Linked DNA regions of Arabidopsis thaliana. The protein of the gene in region 4 interacts with the protein of the main gene of each other region in a biochemical or structural test. Each region holds a gene or a part of one and is shown on either strand. Other genes may lie near its edges. The genes, in order: RCE1, IAA28, SHY2 and TIR1.

What was found.
Region 1: the proteins of TIR1 (region 4) and RCE1 form a complex in vitro, tested with the Arabidopsis thaliana proteins (one study listed by BioGRID).
Region 2: the proteins of TIR1 (region 4) and IAA28 form a complex in vitro, tested with the Arabidopsis thaliana proteins (one study listed by BioGRID).
Region 3: the proteins of TIR1 (region 4) and SHY2 form a complex in vitro, tested with the Arabidopsis thaliana proteins (3 studies listed by BioGRID).

What each region holds. Positions count from the first base shown.
Region 1 is NC_003075.7:17,339,789-17,345,037, forward strand, and holds RCE1 (RUB1 conjugating enzyme 1), read right to left. Parts: upstream 3,248-5,249; 5' UTR 2,796-3,247; intron 2,403-2,795; 5' UTR 2,361-2,402; coding exon 2,249-2,360; intron 2,162-2,248; coding exon 2,053-2,161; intron 1,959-2,052; coding exon 1,880-1,958; intron 1,783-1,879; coding exon 1,666-1,782; intron 1,587-1,665; coding exon 1,449-1,586; 3' UTR 1,144-1,448; downstream 1-1,143. Other genes in the region: GGPS1 (geranylgeranyl pyrophosphate synthase 1), read left to right, coding at 3,725-4,840. UniProt on the Arabidopsis thaliana protein: Accepts the ubiquitin-like protein NEDD8/RUB1 from the ECR1-AXR1 E1 complex and catalyzes its covalent attachment to other proteins.
Region 2 is NC_003076.8:9,030,609-9,035,756, reverse strand, and holds IAA28 (indole-3-acetic acid inducible 28), read right to left. Parts: upstream 2,554-5,148; 5' UTR 2,278-2,553; coding exon 2,150-2,277; intron 1,959-2,149; coding exon 1,647-1,958; intron 1,384-1,646; coding exon 1,319-1,383; intron 1,226-1,318; coding exon 1,203-1,225; 3' UTR 617-1,202; downstream 1-616. UniProt on the Arabidopsis thaliana protein: Aux/IAA proteins are short-lived transcriptional factors that function as repressors of early auxin response genes at low auxin concentrations.
Region 3 is NC_003070.9:1,127,408-1,132,367, reverse strand, and holds SHY2 (AUX/IAA transcriptional regulator family protein), read left to right. Parts: upstream 1-2,678; 5' UTR 2,679-2,748; coding exon 2,749-3,233; intron 3,234-3,315; coding exon 3,316-3,624; exon of another isoform or gene 3,625-3,728; coding exon 3,729-3,804; 3' UTR 3,805-4,219; downstream 4,220-4,960. Other genes in the region: AT1G04230 (rRNA-processing EFG1-like protein (DUF2361)), read right to left, coding at 4,540-4,545, 4,695-4,934. UniProt on the Arabidopsis thaliana protein: Aux/IAA proteins are short-lived transcriptional factors that function as repressors of early auxin response genes at low auxin concentrations.
Region 4 is NC_003074.8:23,271,892-23,278,478, forward strand, and holds TIR1 (F-box/RNI-like superfamily protein), read right to left. Parts: upstream 4,740-6,587; 5' UTR 4,291-4,739; coding exon 3,824-4,290; intron 3,091-3,823; coding exon 2,598-3,090; intron 2,413-2,597; coding exon 1,588-2,412; 3' UTR 1,174-1,587; downstream 1-1,173. Other genes in the region: AT3G62970 (zinc finger (C3HC4-type RING finger) family protein), read left to right, coding at 58-140, 230-321, 406-475, 542-580, 670-807. UniProt on the Arabidopsis thaliana protein: Auxin receptor that mediates Aux/IAA proteins proteasomal degradation and auxin-regulated transcription.

The DNA.
Region 1 (5,249 bases), on a different chromosome or scaffold from region 4:
ATTTTTGTTTCTATTCGGAATTTTATAAGTTTTTTCACTTGTATTTGTTTAAAAATATTGGATTCAAAATTTTTATAATGATAAGAAATCTAACGGAATTTTGGATACAACTTCAGTCGTTAGAGATTCCAAACATTTAACTTGTTTTTCTTATTGTTATCTAAATTTAGAATTCAAGTTTTTAATTCAGGTTTTGTAAAATTGTGTTTTTGTTTCTTTGGAATTTTATAAAAATTTTCAAACTTGTATTTGTTTTTAAAAATAAAATATATAATGATAAGAAATCTAACCAAATTTTGGATATAGTTTCAGTCGTTAGAGATTCCAACCATTTAACTTATTTTTGTTTCTTTGGAATTTTATAAATTTTTTCAAACTTGTATTTGTTTTTAAAAATAAAATATATAATGATAAGAAATCTAACCAAATTTTGGATATAGTTTCAGTCGTTAGAGATTCCAACCATTTAACTTATTTTTCCCATTATTATGTAGAATTAATATTCAGTTTTTACGGATTTTTTAAAAATATCTTTTAAATTATTAATTTTTTTCTTTCTAATTTGTGAAAGCTTTTTTATTGTTTTGTTTTTTCAGAAAAAAAATAAATATATTTCTTCGGATACTAAATTTACATAATATTTTACAAAATTTACATAATTATGTGAAAACTAACCGGATTTTGGATCCAACCTTAGTAGTTAGCGATTGTAAATATTTCAACTTGTTTTTTCTATTATTAATCATTCTAGGTTTTCATTTGTTTTTTCAAAAATAGTTTTAAAATTTTGAGTTTGTGTCTTTTCGGACTTTTAAAATTATTTTTCTTTAATCAAAATACTAAATTGATATAATGATTAAAGACAGGAATTTGGATCTAGCATTAGTCGTTAGGGATTGTAAACATTTGTTTTTTCATATTATTCCTTAGGCCATAGCAAGACTTTTTAAAACAGAATTGAAGCTTTTTTTAAAACCGAATAAATCAAAACGTGTGTACAAAAATATGAATCAAACGTTGAATGAAATCGATTATTTTCTAGATATCAAAATGGAAATCGAATAGGATAGATGTGATTTATATTTTAATCTAAACCTGAAACAAGAATATTGTTTTAGCAAACCCGAACCAAACAAAAAAAAATCCAGTTATGAAGGCTATATTTCAAACAGTATTTCGAATGAAATTTAAACAAATGATTTATAAGGAACCCAAGAAATGACAAAGATCAAACATGTTATACAATTCCTTTTAGTCTCCTTTATCGAATTCTCACGAACTTAAAGTTGACAAGATTTCGATATAAGGAAAGGGTTACTTTAACGCGGAATGTAATTTTACAAGATCAAACAAACAAACGAGGGTCCTTGAGAAAGAGAAGAAATACAATGGCGGACAAAGGGTTTGGTTCTTATCTTTTTCCTTGAAGAAGACAAACCAGAGCTTTGTTAGATACAACGCGGGAAAAAGGTCTGACCGACATATCCACCGGTCATGGCCCTGCGAACATTGGTCTCAAAGAGCTTTGGGTTATCCCTCAAAACTGCTGCAGCATCATGGTTCAAGGGATCTTCAGAATTGGGTTCCTGTGTGAAAAACAATCACTCAGTTCAGAAACCAAATAACACAAAAACCTTTGTTTGATCGAACTGTCCGGTTAATTACCGTGAACAGATGGAAGAGTCCGTAGATAACTGTGTTAATGTTAAGAACAGGTTTCCAATCTTCACGCAAGATGTTCAGGCAAACGTTTCCTTCCAAATCGATATTGGGATGATAAACCTAAACAAGAAAACCAACAAAGAGTTTCTACAACACAAACGATTTTGAAGTAGAAGCTGTAAACTATATAAGGCATGTAAAAGGAGGAGAGGCCTACCTTGGTTTTGCATTTAACTTTTGGAGCTTCATGTGGATACACAGGAGAGACTTGGAATGTGAAAACAAACGTACCATTGCTGTTTATTTGGTAAGAAAGAAACAAATAAGTTTCCAAAAAGTTTTTAAGAGACAAAAACGCAGGTTTCAGTGGGAAAAAAAGCACTACTTAACTGGTAATATCCATCATCAGGTTTAATGGATACTTCAAAGTTCATCAAATCATCTTTGCCATTTGGAAAAGATATTGAACAAGAGCTAGGAAGGTTCAACTCTGATATATCTGCACAGTTCAAAATCGGAAAAAACACCAAAAATTGAAACTTGGAGATGCAAGAACAAAAAAAAGATCAACAAGGCATTTATATACCTTTGTGAAGACGAAGTTCGCCAGCAGATTGCTTCTTAACAGAAGCTCCTCCTCTAGTAGCATTTTGAGCTTGTTCTCTTTGCTTTTCCTTTACTTTAAACAACCCAATCATTGTTTCTGACTTCTCTTAAGAAACTCACACCCACACACACAGCTGTGACAAATCAAAGAATGAATGATTAATTCTATGACAGATCAAAGAAGACCTTAAAAAATCGATCCTTTCGATATATCAAATCACAACTGCAACTAAACTCATATGCCCACTTTTATATTAATCTTGGTAACATAGCTTATTAGACTTTCACACAATAATTGAATCCCAAATCATAAGATCCCTAAAACAAAGCTATAACCAAAATCTCAGAAATGAAAACGCGTTATTACAAGACAAGCTAATCTACTTTAACAGGTTCAAAGATCGAAGACTTTCCTTCCACATAAGTAGAATCAGAAATCTCAAAACAACGACTAGGTCGAAACATCGAAAGTTAAACACCAAGACAATCAAACAAAGAGAATGAAGGAAGAAGAAGAAGAAGCTTACAAGTTGTTAAATTCGTTGCAAAAACACGAAAATCAAAACGAATTACGAGCGAATTAAAAAGGTCGCCGATTGATTAATCTCTCTCTCTCGCCTACCGGATTGTCGTCCTCTGAAGCTAAACGACGAAGAAACAGCAGAGAAATGGTTGCAATAATAATAAACACACAATCGTAGCTTTTTTCTCGACGCTGAATCAGAATAATTCAAAAATCTCGTACCTGTTTGTTGAGTTCCAGCTTGGCCCATTAAAGCCCGTTAGGCCCATTTCAGTTATATCTATCTTCCAACAATAAATTTGGTAGTTTGCGCGCTTTTAATAAGTTAAAACCAAGCAGTTGTCAGAGATCAACGAGCTCGTGTAAAATGTCCACAAGTGGGACTTGTGACCCGTATGCATTTTTTATGCCATTTTTACTAATTTCGTGTAACAAATCTACAAAACAAGATAATCATTAATCACTACGTAATCATCTAAATTCAATGTGTGGTATAGAAAAAAATAACAGATGAGATTTATGTGTTTAAGATTTTGATATTTTACCAAAACAACAATAGTATATATTTGTGGTATAGAATTGAAAATAAAAAGAAAAAAATCTAAAAAACTGACAAGTAATTTATCTGTAATCTAAGCCAGAAAAATATCATCTTTATGCTATAAAAACATTTTCCATGGACTTAAAAACAATAAAACAAAAACAGTGAAAAAAGAAAAAAGATGCTTTTCAATAAAAGTGAAGATCGTCATCTCCACCACTAACAAGGCCCATTCCGTAACACAACCCTATCTGTTACTTCCTAGCTTCTCACTAATGGCCAATCCAATTCTCCATTCATAATTTTGACTCCACTTTCCAAAAAAAACAAAAAAAAATAAATACTAATATAAAAAATTCTCAAATCTAAAATTTCAGATTTCAGAAATCGCCATGGCTTCAGTGACTCTAGGTTCATGGATTGTTGTTCACCACCACAATCATCATCATCCATCTTCAATCCTTACCAAATCCAGATCCAGATCTTGTCCTATAACTCTTACTAAACCCATCTCCTTTCGATCAAAACGCACCGTTTCATCATCTTCTTCAATCGTTTCTTCTTCCGTTGTTACAAAAGAAGACAATCTACGCCAATCTGAACCATCCTCTTTCGATTTCATGTCGTACATCATCACCAAAGCCGAATTAGTCAACAAAGCTTTAGATTCAGCTGTTCCTCTCCGTGAGCCACTCAAGATCCACGAAGCGATGCGTTACTCTCTTCTCGCCGGTGGCAAAAGAGTTAGACCAGTTCTCTGCATCGCTGCTTGTGAACTCGTCGGAGGTGAAGAATCAACCGCTATGCCAGCAGCTTGCGCCGTCGAGATGATTCACACCATGTCGTTGATCCACGACGATCTCCCTTGTATGGATAACGACGATCTCCGCCGTGGAAAACCGACCAACCACAAAGTGTTTGGTGAAGACGTCGCTGTTTTAGCCGGAGACGCGCTTCTCTCTTTCGCTTTCGAGCATTTAGCTTCGGCGACGAGTTCTGATGTTGTTTCTCCGGTGAGAGTGGTTCGAGCCGTTGGAGAATTGGCTAAAGCGATAGGAACAGAAGGGTTAGTGGCGGGTCAAGTCGTGGATATTAGTAGTGAAGGGTTAGATTTAAACGACGTCGGTTTAGAGCATTTGGAGTTTATCCATTTGCATAAAACGGCGGCGTTGCTTGAAGCTTCTGCTGTTTTGGGAGCTATTGTTGGTGGAGGAAGTGATGATGAGATTGAGAGGTTAAGAAAGTTTGCGAGATGTATTGGTTTGTTGTTTCAGGTGGTTGATGATATCTTGGATGTGACGAAATCGTCGAAAGAGTTAGGGAAAACTGCTGGGAAAGATTTGATTGCTGATAAGTTGACGTATCCTAAGATTATGGGTTTGGAGAAATCGAGAGAGTTTGCTGAGAAATTGAATAGAGAGGCTCGTGATCAGCTTTTAGGGTTTGATTCTGATAAGGTTGCTCCTTTGTTGGCTTTGGCTAATTACATTGCCTATAGACAGAACTGATTTGTGTTCGATTCCTTTTGTCGGGAATCATTATTAGATTGGAATTGTAGAAATCTCGGACAGGTTCTCTAGAGTTTGTTGGTGTAATCATCTCTATGTTTTCATGTACTAAAAAATTTGGATAGTAATGGATGAAATATGAAGAGGTTCATGTGTCTGTAATAGAGTCCCTGGTTGGTTTCAGTCTTTTTGAGTATTAAACTCTCTGTTCTTTTGGCTCGTATTTGTAATGATGAACAATGTGTTTTAGGACAGGAACTCTGGTTGGATCTGATAGATTCGCTAGTTCTTGCCTTATTGGTGTTCAGATTAGTTATCCAAAGGTACGGCGTTGTTTTGGGGCGTAAAACCAATCAAGTCAACGGAGCATACAGAGTTTAAGATGGACCGAGGCGAATACAATACATTA
Region 2 (5,148 bases), on a different chromosome or scaffold from region 4:
CTTTGGAGGTGATGATGATGATTTGAGATGGAAACAAAAGATTATATTCTTAATTGGTAAAGATAAAAATTTCATCAGCATACGGTATATTTTTGAAGAAAAAAAGTTTGAAAGAAAGTTGTGAGACACAAAATTTATAGGAGAATTTTTAAATTTTAAATTTTATTTACTAATTTTAAATTCATTATTTCTTTTAAAATAATGTTTTTTTACCTATCTCGACATAATTGAGTTTTTCTTTGGATCATCAATTAGTAGAGGTAATCGGACCATTTTCCAAGTTGGATTAACGGGTCAGCGAATGTTCAACCTCTGATAGACTGATACTATGTTAAGTTTCATAGATTACTAATTCCAAAACCAATTGACAATAAGTAAAAACTCATATAAATATATATATATATATATATATATATATATATTTATATTAATGAAGTCTAAAGTCGTTTTCACCATCTGAGTTCGAGTAGTATTAGCCACCAAAATTTAAGTAATTTAACATGGTTTTTCCATACTCCATAATCAATTTTTGGGTGTATGAAATTTTTAAAATTATATGAGTTATAAAAAAATAAAGTATCTTTCTCCCTACTATCTTTACTCTAAATACTATTTTAAGATATTACTCGAGTTAATTACATGTTATACCGAAATAATTCATGAACATAACAAGATTACAGTTCATGAAATAAATGGTTTGTCTTTTGTGAAATAAACAATTGGTACTCATGTGTGTTACAAAACAACAATTTTTTTTGGATGGTGTTATAAAACTCGAACCCACCAAACTTGGATAGCCTCTTGTATCTATTTCTCTATTATTTCGGGTAATCTTTACTCATACATAGTAAACAGGCTCTCTGGATTTTTACCTCTCTGAAAAAAACATAAAATGAGTCGGTTTGATTTCGCTAATTAAATACCATTTTCCCTACTAAAAAACGAAACGAAGGCATGAATCATATCAGGCATTGTAATCAACTTACGTGCTTACACTATTTTTATACACACGATAACATACTAACCCCCGATTTCTTAAACGAACAGCATATTTACAACCAAAACAAGAAATAACATAGCAAGCAAAAACCTAGTACATAAGTGAAAAAGAAAACCAGTAAATCAAAGCCAAACCCCATTAGTTTCCACAAAAATTACATTAAAAACAAACCATCGAACTGATGATTTTGGCCAACCTCTCTCTATTCCTTGCCATGTTTTCTAGCTGTGAAAAAATAAATAAATATATAAGTTAATTTCAAGGCAGTAATTAAGTGATGAGATGTATGAAAAAGTTTCGTAAGAATTGTAATCTTACGTGAGAGTGAGAAGGCGTGGGAGGTCTTTAAAACATGCAACCTCTTTACAGTAGATACAAACATCCTAACAAATAAAGTAAACTATATCATTAATATGTCCAATGATTCAAATTATTATCAGATAAATATCCAAAAATATGACCTTTAAAGGAAAATAATAATCTGATGAGAAATGGCCAAACTCTTTTTAGGAACTCATACTAAAAATATTTGTTAAATTCGACAAAAACAAAAGTAGATAGATATAAAATGAATTTTTGATAAAGTAAGTTCATATTCAGTTCCAGAAAAAAAAATGGAATTAGTTTTGTTTGATTTAAAACTTACTCCCAAGGAACATCCCCGACCAGAACTTTATCTCCTTCAGTGTCTTCGTAGACCAAAGTGTATTGTCTGTTTAGATCCCACGAATCTTTCTTAGAGAAGAGTTGGTCAACGGCATGTGAAAGCTGTTGGTAGTTGTTATAAGCTGAAAGGTTGACTTTTCTTCCTATTGGAACTCCTTCCATGTTGATCTTAACGTACAATTCCTTCTCTTCATCACTCTCCTTCTTCTTCATCTCCTCCTTTAGTTGTGCCGTTAGGTTTCTCCGGGATGATCTCACCGGCGGCCATCCCACCACTGGAGCTACCTCAACCCTGTTTTAGCCATATCTAGTTATAACATATACACAAATACTTTTTGATAACTAGATACCGAAACCCAAACTAATCTCCGAAAACTGTAGAATTACCAGGATTTTGTTTTTTATTTTTATTTTATTATCATATAAGACATCTACAATGAACAAGAATGATTCAAATCATTCATGAGAAGAGATTAAGAGAACCTGTTATTGGAAAGGAATGATGTTTCTTTGGTCGAGCTTTTTTGTTTAGATCCATTGATGTTGTTGTTGGAAGTGAATTGGTGACAAGGAGGAGCTAGCCTTAGCTCCAATCTCTTTTCTTCTTCCATTTTTCTAAGTTTGTGTTGTGTTTTTGGTGTTGGGGAGTATTATTATATGGGTGGTTGGCAAGGAACTACAATCCCAATCTTTTTATAAAAGTAGTCTCTTTATATTTTCTAATGAAAAGAGATTTTATTTTGAATTAATAACCACCTAACAGATCCTACTTGTATGGTTTCCGTATGTCAAAAATGCGTTTACATACGTGTATGATTCTACGAATGTGATGCGGATTGATGGGAGACACACATATATTATTTACAACGATTACTATTATATAAAGAGAATAAATTTATATGATGATCATTAGAAAAATCCAATAGACTAATTTAGAGTTATAGGTAGGTGGTTATCAAATTAAAAACCCACTTAGAATATATGGTAACATGGTTCATAGCCGTGTGGGGTCTCATACTACCGAATAACTCTGATTAATTACAAAACATATGATTCCAAAAATCTTAGATGTAATCACCAAATTATTACGCTGTCTAGACGTGTCCATTATCATTCTAATTCGATCCAAAAAGATGTGGGTAACCGAAAATTACCAAAGAACTAAAATGCTACCATAGCACCAAAGTCAAAATGAATATCCAACACATACACATAAACCAATTTAAACAAAGAGATATATAAATAACAGTGATTAGTAATACCCCTTTATTAGCTAGTGACATGAATTAAAATCATATTGAAAAATGAAAATGAATGCTATTCTTACTTAGAAAATGAAAACTATAATCATATAAACTATGTACAATTGCTTCTCTTATGCATGACATTTGTAACACATGTATTTTAGAAAATTCATGTATGTCACCGTGACTCATGAGACAAAGAAATGTATCATGCATGGTTGTGTCATCATGTGATCATCAACATAGTCATCATATGATCATCTCCACACCCATTCTTGGAGAGTAGAGGCCGACATAGAAAAGGAAACAAGAAAGAGGAAAGAGATTCCTAGGCATGCTTAAATGAGTACCTACCAATAAAAGGAGTAAAGTAGTAGGTTTTCGTTTACTAACCTTCTTCTGTTTATTTTTATTTGATATATAAGTACTGCAAATATTAATTGTATGTATACTTAGAATTCCACTACAAATTCTCTCTTTTTTCACGAAAAGTCCACTACCAACTTGGTTTTTGTTACTCTAATTTGGCCTCCATAATGTTTGTCCTTTTTTTCAAGTTACATAATCGATTGATTTACGGAAATTGCCAACCCATGAAAAGTCATCTTAAACATAATCAAGTATAACTTTAGAAATATATCAAGATGGTTTAAGGATCTTTCAACTCAATCTTAAAAAAACTTAATAGCTATGGCATATAATCAAATAAGCTGTAATTTGATTAGTGAAAATAACTAAAATGGGTCAACGCTCAAAATACTACAAATAAAACTGTTGAAATAGACACATAAAATTTGTGGCTATTTCACAGTTTCTTATAGTTGAATTGGTTTATACTTATCTTGTGTCTTTTGTCTAGAAATTTGTGGCAATCTAGAAATTCTCTTTTGTCTTTTGACCTTTTTTCATGGGTCATCACCTATTTGTTTTATTCTTTTTAACTCGGGGCAAAACAATTTCTTCAGCCGATTTATATTAATTAACCGAGAGTCCGAGACCAATATACCATGACTAATCATCACACTAATAATGACAGAGCTTATAGTGTAATTTTTACTTGATTCTGACCCTGCACATACGTGTATATAAATATAATGGAATACATTTTTAGTTAAAAATATTATAGTGTATAAATTATAATATGCATAGAACAGTGTACAGTGTTAATTATGATAAAATAGCTAACTTTTTTTATTAATTTATATTATTTATATTTTATTTATATTTTGCATGGTAAATATATTGTTAGATTTGTTTGGATTTGCTGAATATATAGAGATATTTGGAAAATCTGTGTATTTTTGTTAGTTTGATGTATATATAAATTGATTGTTTTTGTTTGAAATTTGATCAATTAGATGATATAATGTAAATTTAACTCCGCGGTACACCGTTGGTCGATTTTTTGTAACTAAAAATTCAAATTTTAAGATATAGTTGTTTTGTAAATATTGTTTATTTTGTTTAGTGTTTAAGATTATATAATTATGTTATAGTTATTAATTCTAAGATTTTACTCGTAGATTATCGTCCCGTATTAATATCAACCCAAACTCGTTCCACCATATAACTTCATTCCGTAAAATGAAAATCATTTTGTTATTTTTAAATATTGTTATTCTAATATATATAAAAATCGACGGATCGACATGTGGTACATCTTGGATTAATATATTTAAAAATAATTTGTGATTTACAAATTTATGATATTGTAGTATATAAAACCAATTTTTAGTGTATACCTTTCAATAAGATGTAGTTTTTATAATTAAAGTATAATAGTATTTGGTCTTTATGTTAAATAATAGTATTTGGTTTTTTTATAAACTATTAAATTAGTTGATTTTAGTTAAAAATAAAAAATTAAATTAAGTTATATTTGTTTTGTTTATTGTTTAAGATTGTATAACTATAATCTAGTTTCTTATAATCTAGTGTTGACCCTGAAACAAAAATCCATAAGAATACGCATAGATGGATAGTAATATTAGAAGATAAACATCATTAGAATATGAAGTACTTTACTTATGAATCTCTATATATTGTTTTAAAGAATCGATATTCTAGATTGATTGTGAGGCAATGTGAATGTATGCATAACATTTATAATTATAAGAGATGGATTGTACGGAAAATTAGATTTTAATTTGGATTCAATCTTAGCTTTACTGAATAAACTAATCTGAATTGCGTTTTTTTTCAATCTAAAATTTACTATAATCTCAACAATTTTGGTAT
Region 3 (4,960 bases), on a different chromosome or scaffold from region 4:
AGATTTGGGGGATCGCTTTATTGATTACATTTGACCGGTAAAGATATTCTCTTTGTCCAAATAATTCCATAATATTTTGACAAGGAAAACATTTTAAACTCATACAAATACTTTGAAGATAATATTATTTATCAAAAGTTCAAAACTATCACTGTATCACATATTGACGCAAAAGTTTTTTTTTTTTTTTTAACGTTCTATAATAACCTAAAGAGTGTCAAACATTGACTAATATTTGAAGTTTTTCTAATGCAAACTAAAAAAGAAAAAAGAAAAAGAAAAGAAGAAACAGATCCCTCAAATTAATGAGGAAACCCCGAGGTTGGTTTACGAACCCAAGTTGAGTAAAATAAAAGATTAGTAGTAATATGTGGATAAGAAAATTGTAAAGTTGGCTTTATGGTTAAAGAAAATGGGAAAAAAATAGTGGTGGTTAGATTGAAGTGGTCCAGATACGCCGTCAAAGCAAAATAAAACTCCAAAATGTAGCGGCCCAGCCCATTTAATTACTCCTATAAAGATGGTCCAATTGCAAATGAAAATGTGTTAAAATTTCGGAAAGCATTATTTCTACTACGAAGGAATTTAACTAACTTAATAAAGAAAATATTCTAAACTTTGGACCACACCAATTATTATACAATGTGTTGATTTCTATTGTAAATCATTTATATCAACAAAAGAGTCATAAGTACACTCTAATTTCGTTGGTTAAGTGCTAAAAATCTTGCGCGGTTTAGCTTTCGGATTAGATTTTATAAAGAGTGCTATAATCAACCAGCGATTCTGTGATCAGATGTGGGACCTGCATCTTCTGTCATTGGTTACACGTGTACGGTTGATACGGTGGCTTGAGATCTTCTACTGCTCTGTAGGGCAAGCAAATATTTGAGTGACATGTGTTATGATTAATCATGTCGGCAAATACAATTACGAACGAATTATCATCATTATCTTCACTTCTTTGGCTAAATTGCTAATGGATATTGGAGGAATTTATTAGGTTTTAATCCGACATATAAGAGTATATACAAAAGAAAAATATTAATTTTTCAAATTTTATTTTAGAAAAAGTTTCATGAAATATTTTGCGTTAACTGCTACTATAGTAAATTCGTGATTGTTACTTAATGGTCTAATTTATCCTTTAAAAAACCAAAACAAATCATTTTTGTGTGATTAGTTGTTGTAGCTAAGACATTGTCATTTTATTTTCAGTATAAGTTACTAAATTCGTTTATATATATAATTAAATTGCAAAGTATGCTACAGTATGACATATAATGAGTGCAGAAAAATAAAAGATGATGCCATAATACTATAGTGAATGAGAAAAGCCTGCGGATATTCATGCCTAATAAAAGTCTTTAACTCCTTATGGATAAGATATATATGGGAATACAAAACATTTAATTTATATTTATTTTTTATCTTACGTTCCACTGACGGATTATAAATAAATTTTTTAGGAAAAACTTTATATTTGTTTGTGTGTGCAAACTTTATATTACATATATTAGTCATCAAATGCTTCTATATATTGTGACCAATTCACAAATAATGATATAAATATATATATATTCCCATCAGTTTTTCTTGGTATAAATACAATTAATTCAATTCAAACTTATGACCTGTTCTGTCAAGAAAACGAATCTAGTAATTTATGACTGAACCAAGAAGAGAATGTTTCTCACCGTACAGAAGAAATCAATGCGTGATGAGTACTGAGTAGCTGTTAGCAGTCACCTCTAATTGTATGAATTTATTTTGTTGAAATATGTTCGTTAATCGTTAGTACTTGTTGAAAGTCACTACGTACGTATATATGTAGATAAAAAAAAAAAAAAAATTCTTTTAGGATTATTGTTACACGTATAATGTAAAGTTATAACATAAGTTCTTAACAACTCTTTGCATAGTACCGATTCGGACTTCGATTTCGAAAGCCATGCATGAGAAAACCAAAAAATGGAGCCAAAACTTAGATCCGGTTCAATTCGAGTAGGTTATGTCAAAGACGTAAACATCTACAATAGGAGCTCCATATAAGTAGAATACAACCAATGCCACGCTGTAACATAAACAAAGACAGCGAGAATCTGTTAAAGATCTCTCAGGTTCCAAAACAAAACTACAAGACCCCATTATGATGTTACTGACATTTAACTAAAGCCTTGTGCTAGTTGATCCTTAAGGAAGATGTCCTGTCGTGATGCTCAGTTTTATTTCAAATTCATATATACGTGTGTGTGTGTGTGTGGTGATCATGATTAATAGGTTAGAGACAGAGAGACAAAAGTTGTGGGCTTTAACAAACCCCAGTAAAGAACAATAAGTAATTTTGTCACGTAGGCTCTGTTTTTGGCTCTTCAACACCCAAAGTACCTGTTTTTTGAAGATGTGAGACATAAATTATTACTTATGATCTCAAGTCAATAAACTCATCAAATCTGAACTACCCACAATCCAAACATTGAACACTAGCTACCTTTACATATAGAGTTAATTAACCATCCATCTATTGAGAAAACGAGTAAAATATGTATTCGGTTGTTGTTCTTGGTAAGAAAAGATTATGAGCTTACGATCCGAAATTTCTTGGTTGTGATAAGTTATTAATGGGAGATAGAGAGAGGTGATATGCCCATATGGCATACCACATGTGGTGGGGGATTCGAAGATTTGATCTGGACCGTCTATCACAAGAAAGAAAGATGAAAATATTTTGTTTTTGGGTTTGGACAGATGGGAGAAAAAGAAAGTGTCCCCACAAATGTCCCCAAGAAGATGGGACACACTTTTGCCTCAAAGTTGCTGTTACTGCTACCGACAAGCTTAGCTTTTTTTCCTTTGTCCTTAATTCAGAAAACAGTTTCTTCTCTCTCTACCAGTATCTATCTTTATTCTCCTTTAACTTGTATAAAACACTCAGCTTCCTCGAAGCCTCTCATCTTCATCATCAGCAGCTTCTCTATATCTCTCCTCTCTTTCAAGGATAATAACCAAAAGCTTTTCTTTTTATCTTCTCCTGCAATTCTTGAAGAAATGGATGAGTTTGTTAACCTCAAGGAAACAGAGCTGAGGCTGGGATTACCGGGAACAGATAATGTATGTGAAGCAAAAGAGAGAGTTTCTTGCTGTAATAACAACAATAAGAGAGTACTATCAACTGATACTGAGAAGGAGATTGAATCATCATCAAGGAAAACTGAAACATCCCCTCCTCGAAAGTAAGTTAAACTCACACAAAAGTCTCTGAATCTGTAGTGGTGGAGAATTCAGTTGATTGACCGTGTTTCTTCCTTTTTGCAGGGCTCAGATTGTTGGATGGCCACCAGTTAGATCTTACAGGAAGAACAACATTCAGAGTAAGAAGAATGAATCTGAGCATGAGGGTCAAGGAATCTATGTGAAAGTAAGTATGGATGGTGCACCATACTTGAGGAAAATAGATCTGAGTTGTTACAAAGGATACTCAGAGTTGCTTAAAGCTTTAGAAGTGATGTTCAAATTCTCTGTGGGAGAGTACTTTGAGAGAGATGGATATAAAGGTTCAGACTTTGTGCCTACTTATGAAGACAAAGATGGTGATTGGATGCTCATTGGTGATGTTCCATGGGAGTAAGTCTTCTTTCATATACCTGTCTGAAAACAATTTCCACAAAATCAAAAATCAGAAACAACAATTTTGTAAGTGTTCTTATGGGTTCTGTTTGTTGTTGCAGGATGTTCATATGTACGTGCAAGAGACTAAGGATCATGAAAGGATCAGAAGCCAAAGGTTTAGGCTGTGGTGTATGAGATATATCTTCAAGAAATCTAACAGAGACACAAAAGAACTTGAAGAAAAATAGAGTTTCTTTTGGTTCAGAGAAATCTCTGTCTGTGCTTGGGTTGTCGGGTTTCTCGGGCAAGATCTATGTTCATTGGATTGAATCCAATTCATAGCCTTTATTTACCTCATCGGTAAAATTCAAATGTAAACATGCTTAATGGTCTTAAGCATATGAAACTGGAACCTAATTACATTTTGTTTCAGAAACAGGGCAAAAGGTTGTCCTTAAATCTTTGGTTATGTGTATTACATTAATTAAAGTGTTATGAAGATTGAAGAGTTGTTTTTATATTTGTAGCAATTCTGTTTTGCGTTCTCATTGATCAAAGAGATTTTCAAGCAATACCCATTTTCTATTTTGGTTCACTAGTTCTTAGATCATATTATTGATGGTCGAGGTTGGATTACTCCCATTAATTAATACAATTCGATCAAAGCCAACATGAACATAAATCAATAGAAACAAAAAAAAAACTTATCTTATATGAGAAATACGTTTTGCCCAAAGCTTAGGGTTCATTTCATCAGCCAAAAACAACAGACACCTACCTCTCTGCTTTCATGGCAACATATATATACGCATTAGATCCAATCAGAAGATGTAAGACTAGACAGGCCGTAGTAATGAGTGAAGCTTTTGGAATTGATGAACTGTGTTACGAGCTTCTTCGTTTTCTCAGACATGGCGGGAGAGACCTTGTTCACGCCTGAAACAGCAAAACGAATAATATATAATCAGCTTGTAAAATGCAGATTCTTTAGTTATAGAGTTTGAAAGATTGATGCAAATGTACCAATAAGACTTTCAACAAAAGTACGAAACAGAATTCCAGGAAAGAGTCGAGAGAAAACTCACCTGTAGCTTCTTCTTCTTAGGCCTTCTCTTCCTCTTGGGTTTGTGAGCATCAGAATTAGAACTCAAGTTGCTACTCTGACTTGTATGCGAACTAGTGGCAGCATGTGAAGACTGGCTTCTTCTATGTGAAGTGTTGCTGGAGGAAGGTATCTCATTCCTCTTCACAGATGAATACTGACGAGATGTTGATGCAAACCTTGACCGTGGTGGTGGCATTAAAACCCTAGTAGAGTATGGCTTCTACAATAAAAGAAAAGAAATCACTT
Region 4 (6,587 bases):
TGTGGATAGTTATTATACAAGAGTTTTTGTTACGAAATTCCCCTGTAAATATTGCAGGAGCTTGCTACGGAATGGGCTTGCGCGATAAACACTCGTGCATTGAGAACTCTACAAAAAATTCTTGTCCTGTCTGTTATGAGGTTTGTTAGAATGGAATCAATTTTGGTTGGTCTTTTCTTCCATATTGTTAGTGATTAAATTCATATTGTTTTTTGGATCAACCTGGCAGTATCTATTTGATTCGGTAAAGGCCGCACATGTGATGAAATGTGGTCATACAATGCATATGGATTGCTTTGAACAAATGATCAATGAAAACCAGTAAATTCTCCATTAATTTTACTCGTTCGTCACAATATCAAAATTGGATTTCTTATGATTAATCACCAATGTTCTCTCTCTCAGGTACCGATGCCCAATTTGTGCCAAGTCAATGGTGGATATGTCTCCTTCGTGGCACCTATTAGATTTCGAGGTAAGAATCAAATTTTTGATTTGGTGAATTTATTGAGGTAAAGACCAACCAACATTCTTTGTACAGATAAGCGCAACAGAGATGCCTGTTGAGTACAAGTTTGAGGTAAATGTCTAAAAATCCAACGTTGTGCCACCTCTTGGTTTGTTTTCCTTGTGCTCATGGTTTTACATCCGCCAAGAAAATGTCTGCAGGTTTCAATTCTCTGCAATGACTGCAACAAGGGGAGTAAAGCTATGTTCCACATTTTGGGACACAAGTGCAGTGATTGCGGTTCATACAACACTCGGAGAATCTCAACGCCACAAGATCCAGTGAGTGAAACAGAGTGATCATTTTCTGAAGCCAACTCTTCTTCATTGAATTTTCCCGTCATTGGTCCAACCATAGAGCGATAGGGCTGTGTTCTGCTTATTTATTTTTGTTCTTGGCCTAAAAACACTTGAAACGGAAAATATCGTACTGTTATATAAATGGTATTACTGTGTTTAGTCATCATGTAAACTGAAAATTTGAAAAAGCTTGTTTTTCATATGAAAAACAACAGTTCAATTACATTGTGTCCTATCACACGTTTGACGATGATGCTATTCCAAGACCTTTACACAGAGCAAGATTCTCTTGTTTCTAATTATGGTGATAAAGAGAGTGTAGGGACCTGAGACGAAACTAGGTGCTGTTCCAAAACCGAAAAGGCTGCAAACAGTTCATTAAGCGGACAAAGGAAATGGCAAAGACAAAGAGAGAGAGAGATAGAAAACATTTAAAAGGATAAAAGAGTCCAAACAAAACAAGTAGAACAGTTACATTTTTGACATTGTCTTTTAAAAAAATCTCTTATCCTCTTAAGAAAAATACCCCACCAGGATCTCTCAGTGTAAGTAGCCAAATAAACATACAACAATCAATAATTCTTACATAAATAAAACAAAGCTCTCTTAGATCTCTCTTTCTCTCTCTCCACTTATTCATTGCTCATGAGCTTGATGGTTATATGAAGCAGCCGAGATTCAAATTATTGGCGACCGAGCTCTCTCATGTTCCTAAACCGGAACACGATTATATGGGATGATGAACAAGGATTAATGAAAAATGTACCTCGTTTCTTTGTCTTATAATCCGTTAGTAGTAATGATTTGCCTGGAAAACCTCATTGTTGAGTCTTGGTCCATGTTCCAGACGAAGCCAGGCATGTCAAATCGAGGACCAGCCACTGTTCGGTATATGAAGACTCTCTCAACAGGGCAGCTCTCTGGTCTCGAGTCCGGTGCACCCCGTTCATCGATGACTTCCACATTCAGCTTTGGCATCTTCTGTCCTAGTAACTTGCAGGCTCCAAAACTCACGGAACAAGAAGACATCCAAAGGGATCGCATTGTCTCCAGCTTTGAAGCATTGGCCAAAAGCGCCTTGTCTCCAAACGGGCAGTCCCTTATCTCTAGTTTCCTCAAGCTATCGCACCCGGACAAAACATGATGCATGCCTAAGTCACTGTCTCCTGCAAATGCCACTGAGAGCATTTCCATCTTCTTGGCATATGTCCCAATGTATTCAAAAACCTTGTCGGTCAAGAGGCCAGATAGAGAGAGGCGACGGAGATCCTTGCAGTGCTCTACTATGGCTCCAAATCCAATATCCAGTGGCTCTAGAGTCAGATAGTCTGGGGCTTTTGGCTCAATGATGCACAAACGGAAGCGAGTCATGTTGGGACGGTTCCTAGCAATGGTTATCAATGCAGCATTGGTCATTTGACGGCAGAAGTAGAGAACCGACTCGAGTTTTGGACAGCCCATGGAGACGGAGACAAGCCCCTGTTCCGTCAATGCCACATTTGGTTCCATGACAAAAGGCTCGGACGGAAACACTCTCAGCTCGCGTAGGTCCTTGCAGGTTGAAGCAAGCACCTCAAGACCAGCATCCTCGATGTAGTCAAGCACCTGTAGTCAATAATAAGTTAGAGCACAGTTACAAAAAGAAAAAGGCTTTAATGCTTATAATTCAGATATATTGCTCTATATCATTCAAATTTTTTAAGAAAACTATGAACATAAGCTTTCTCATACCATACAGTAAAATGACCTATTCCAAATTCATGTGTTAATGTATGTTAAAATGGACTCACCCAGAGGCGCTGCAGTTTAGGGCATTGACAAAGAAGCTTGACAAGATCATAGCTCTGGACTGTTGCATAACTCAGATTCAAAGTTGTAAGCCGACTGCAAACCGAATAAACTGCTGGAAGATAGGCAGGAACAGCATCCCAAAATCCAGATAAGCACCTCAATTCCTTGCACCCAGAGAGCGCTACAGATAAACCAGAGTAAACATCTGGTCGCACTTCTGCAGTGTACCCACCAGTGCCCAATTCCTCCAATTGAGGTGCTCTTTGAAGTAAAGTAGCCAATTTTTCAAGTGGAACAGCTCGGTTAAGCTTGAGAGACTTGAGATTGGGACACCTAGTCACCAGCCTTTCCAGAGCAGAGAAACTGACCTCAGATGCTAAGCAAGATATATTGAGTGATACCAAAGAAGTGTATGTATCTGGGAAATGGCTAAGCCAGTGGCCACTAACGTCGTCAACATCACTCTCTCGTAAGTCAAGCTCTTTCAGATTCCTGCATAAGAAATCACATAATTAGCATCGAGTGACCCACATTATACAACTTCGAGAACATAAACATTGCCTACAATACATGAGCATAATTGTCATTAATTTGTCCAAAGTTGTATTTGATACAATGTAGAAAGATCACTTTGGGAAACTATCTAAGCATAGAACAATAACAAATTACTAAATTTATCACGTGGAAGCAATGTGAGAGATGCTAAAACAGAGCTAAAGCGAGTAAAGAAGGGGAATCCGAAAACAGATCTAAGTTTCCCAACAAGGTAAAAAAAGAAAATTGAAAGTCCCCTACAAAAAGAAAAGTAACACACACAAAGCCAAATTGATTAGATTTCCCACCTCAGGAGATTCACTGAGAGCGAATAATCCAGGAATAAATAGATACACCACCGTTAAATAAGACCCACCAGAAAGAAAAAGAGAGTGGCTATAATAAGAATCTTCAGAAACGTGATTAAAACATATATCTTTTAGATACGCAAAATCTTGACCAAACCAAAAAAAAGCTCACAAAGACCAGAGTAACATCAGCAGGAACAACGCAGCAAAACCTATATGCCCAGATCAAATAACAAGTACATGAATTTGCTATAATTGAGACTTTATGTAGTATAATGAATATACAAATCACACACCAATAAGTTTAATACAAACAAAAGCTTCTTCCTAGAGACACAAGGGAGTCTTCTTGATGAAACAAAAAACATTCAGAAAAAGAATACCTGCAAGTGGCAGCGATAGCAGCGAGACCATCGGTGGAGAAGCCTTCGCAGGAAGAAAGCACAAGAACCTTAAAATTCTTAAAAGACTTGGCTATGAGCTCCAAGCAATCGTCGGTGACCACCATCCTCTTCAGCCTTATCTCTTCAAGCCACGTGTAAGACGAAGACATGGCCTCAATCCATGGATACACGTAACCTCCCCATCCGTCAGGTACCAAATTAAAGTCAGCAAAGTGAGGTTTTCCTTTAAGCTCCACGGATCTCACTTTCGGGAACCTCCTAATCACCGTCGCTGGACTCACGGCGTAGCAGTTCCCGATGAAGACTTTCCTCCTGCACCACCGCTCGATCTCGTACCATGACTTGCACACCAGAGAGACTGAGTTCCTATCCTTATCCAGCTGAATAAACGAGAACACATGCTCTAGTACCTCTTCTGGAAACGACAAGGCTATTCGCTTCTGCATTGCGGCCAAATAACCTCGAGATCTCGATGATCGAACCAGAGGAAGAAGTTGGACAGCGTTCGAAGAAGAGTTGAACAAGTATATATATATAACTCCCAAGGTTAGATCTGAGGCGCCATTAACGGAGATAATCTAGTTTCAAAGGAGAAGCTGAAACAAAGATGAAGAAGATAGATAGAGAGAGAGAGAGAGTGGGAAGAGAAGAGAAAAGGATAGGGGGAAGGAGAAGGAGGTCAAGTTAAAAAAGCCAACCATGGTTGGGTTAAAAGTTAACCGTGGTCAAACATATCCATGTGAGCCTTTTCGGTGATTGTGATTGTCGATTCTGATGATGACACGTGTCTTATAAGCTTCAAATACCAGCCGTCCGATTGAATGAAAGCGGGAGATTATCTTATCGACTGTGCAGAGAAGGGCAGCCGCAGAAAACGGGACGAGATATTGGAGAGGGGGGGTCGGCTTATCGCGGCTTCTATCAAAATAGCGCGAGAAGGAGATCAATGATAGGGTGTGGTAAGGTGTAGGAGAAGAGGGAATCTAATGATACGCGATGCACGGCTGGATATGAGGGGAAGCCCCGTAAATTGCGGGGACCACAACAGAATGTTAAAAAAAATACTAGACTACTAATGATCTGACGGTAACAAAACAATAAAAAAAGAAGCTATTACTGTTATTTATGATGACATCACAACCGTCCAATCATGTTTTGATGTGGAATCTGAGCATCTATCTCCTCCTATTATTAGTTTTGCATGTTCATTTATTTACCCACCACTTGGATTCATAAATAAACCATCAAGACTAATCACAGTTTCATTTTCTATTTTCTAGTAATATATAGTATTGATAAATTTGATTAACTAAAGTGTATCCTTTCTCATAGCATTAAAGTGAAGTAAATAGAGTTGAATGATGAATTAACATAACAAGAATCAGTGTTTTCGTGTGAGATTGGATTAAAACATTATTTGTATGTTTTTGAAGATTGCTGAATAATTTAAATTAAAATTGAAAGGATTGCACAAAAAAGAGTAAATGTGAGGGAAGTATCCAATAATTTAAAGTGAACAACTTTTATGAGTAGAGAAAGAAAAAAAGAGAGAGAAAGAATGGATACTGAAAAATTTGAATAAAGTAGAGAAGAAAGAAAGAAAGAAAGTGCAGCGTCGCATTTTAATCACGACCGTCAGATCTGGGACCCCTTTTTAACAGTGTACGGACATACATACATACACAATCGTGACTTTTAAAATTAATAATTACTTCTTAATTAATTTACCTCGTCTGGGTGTAATAAACGTATAAAAACTACAATTATTTCGGGCTCTGTCGCAAGTACAACGGCTTAGAGGAAAATAAATGGGTATTGAATTGACGAGAATGCCCTTCTTCTCGAAACAGTGTATGATGGGCTTTGCAGAGTCTGAGCATGGAGTTGATAGGTCTGTCCTGCCCTAACTAAAAAAACTTGTCACATTATCAAACTGTTCTATATCATCTTCGTATTACATACCATCCTGACCGTTTATCCACTTAAACTACTATTTAAAATATCGCACCTTTCTAGTTTTCTTTTTGAATGTACTGTTGATTAGTTCTTAAACCAAAAATAAAATCTAAAAATTATAATGACATACATACAAATACGAAGATTTTAAAAAAAAAAAATGTAGCAAGCAAGTGCTCAGAAATTGAGGTAGTAACGAAGAAAGAGATAATTAGGAAAAAACAAAGAGAGGGCTGAGTATAGTCAGATGGGAGAAGTGTGGAGCTGAGTTGTCTTGCACGTAATACGCTTAAGTTTTTTTAAAATTATAAGTTTTAATGTCGTCAGAAAAAGGGATTAACTTACACTGATATAATAAGAGGTCATTGATTATGAATTTTTTAAGGAAATGATTAGAATAATAATCCCACGCATGGCTCCCCCGCGAATCTCTCTTATTTCTTTCTCCTAGTCTCGGGTTTCGTACTCAAAACTAGCTTGCTCTTTGCTGTCTATTATCCCTTAATTATCTCCCTAATTATTTTTTTAATTATCTCTTCAGCGATATTAGATCCAACTCTGAATGAATTATAAATTGTGTACCTAAAAGCCGAGAATATTACAGACTGCATTATACTACTACTGTTTATGTGAGATAGAAATATGTGTACGCATGTGTGGACGGACATATATAAAAGAATAACATAGTACTATAGTATTTACATAATACTACTGTTTATATATAAGATAGATGATGAGTGATATATATAATGCGATTGATGAAGAGGTGGTGTACAAGTACAAGTAA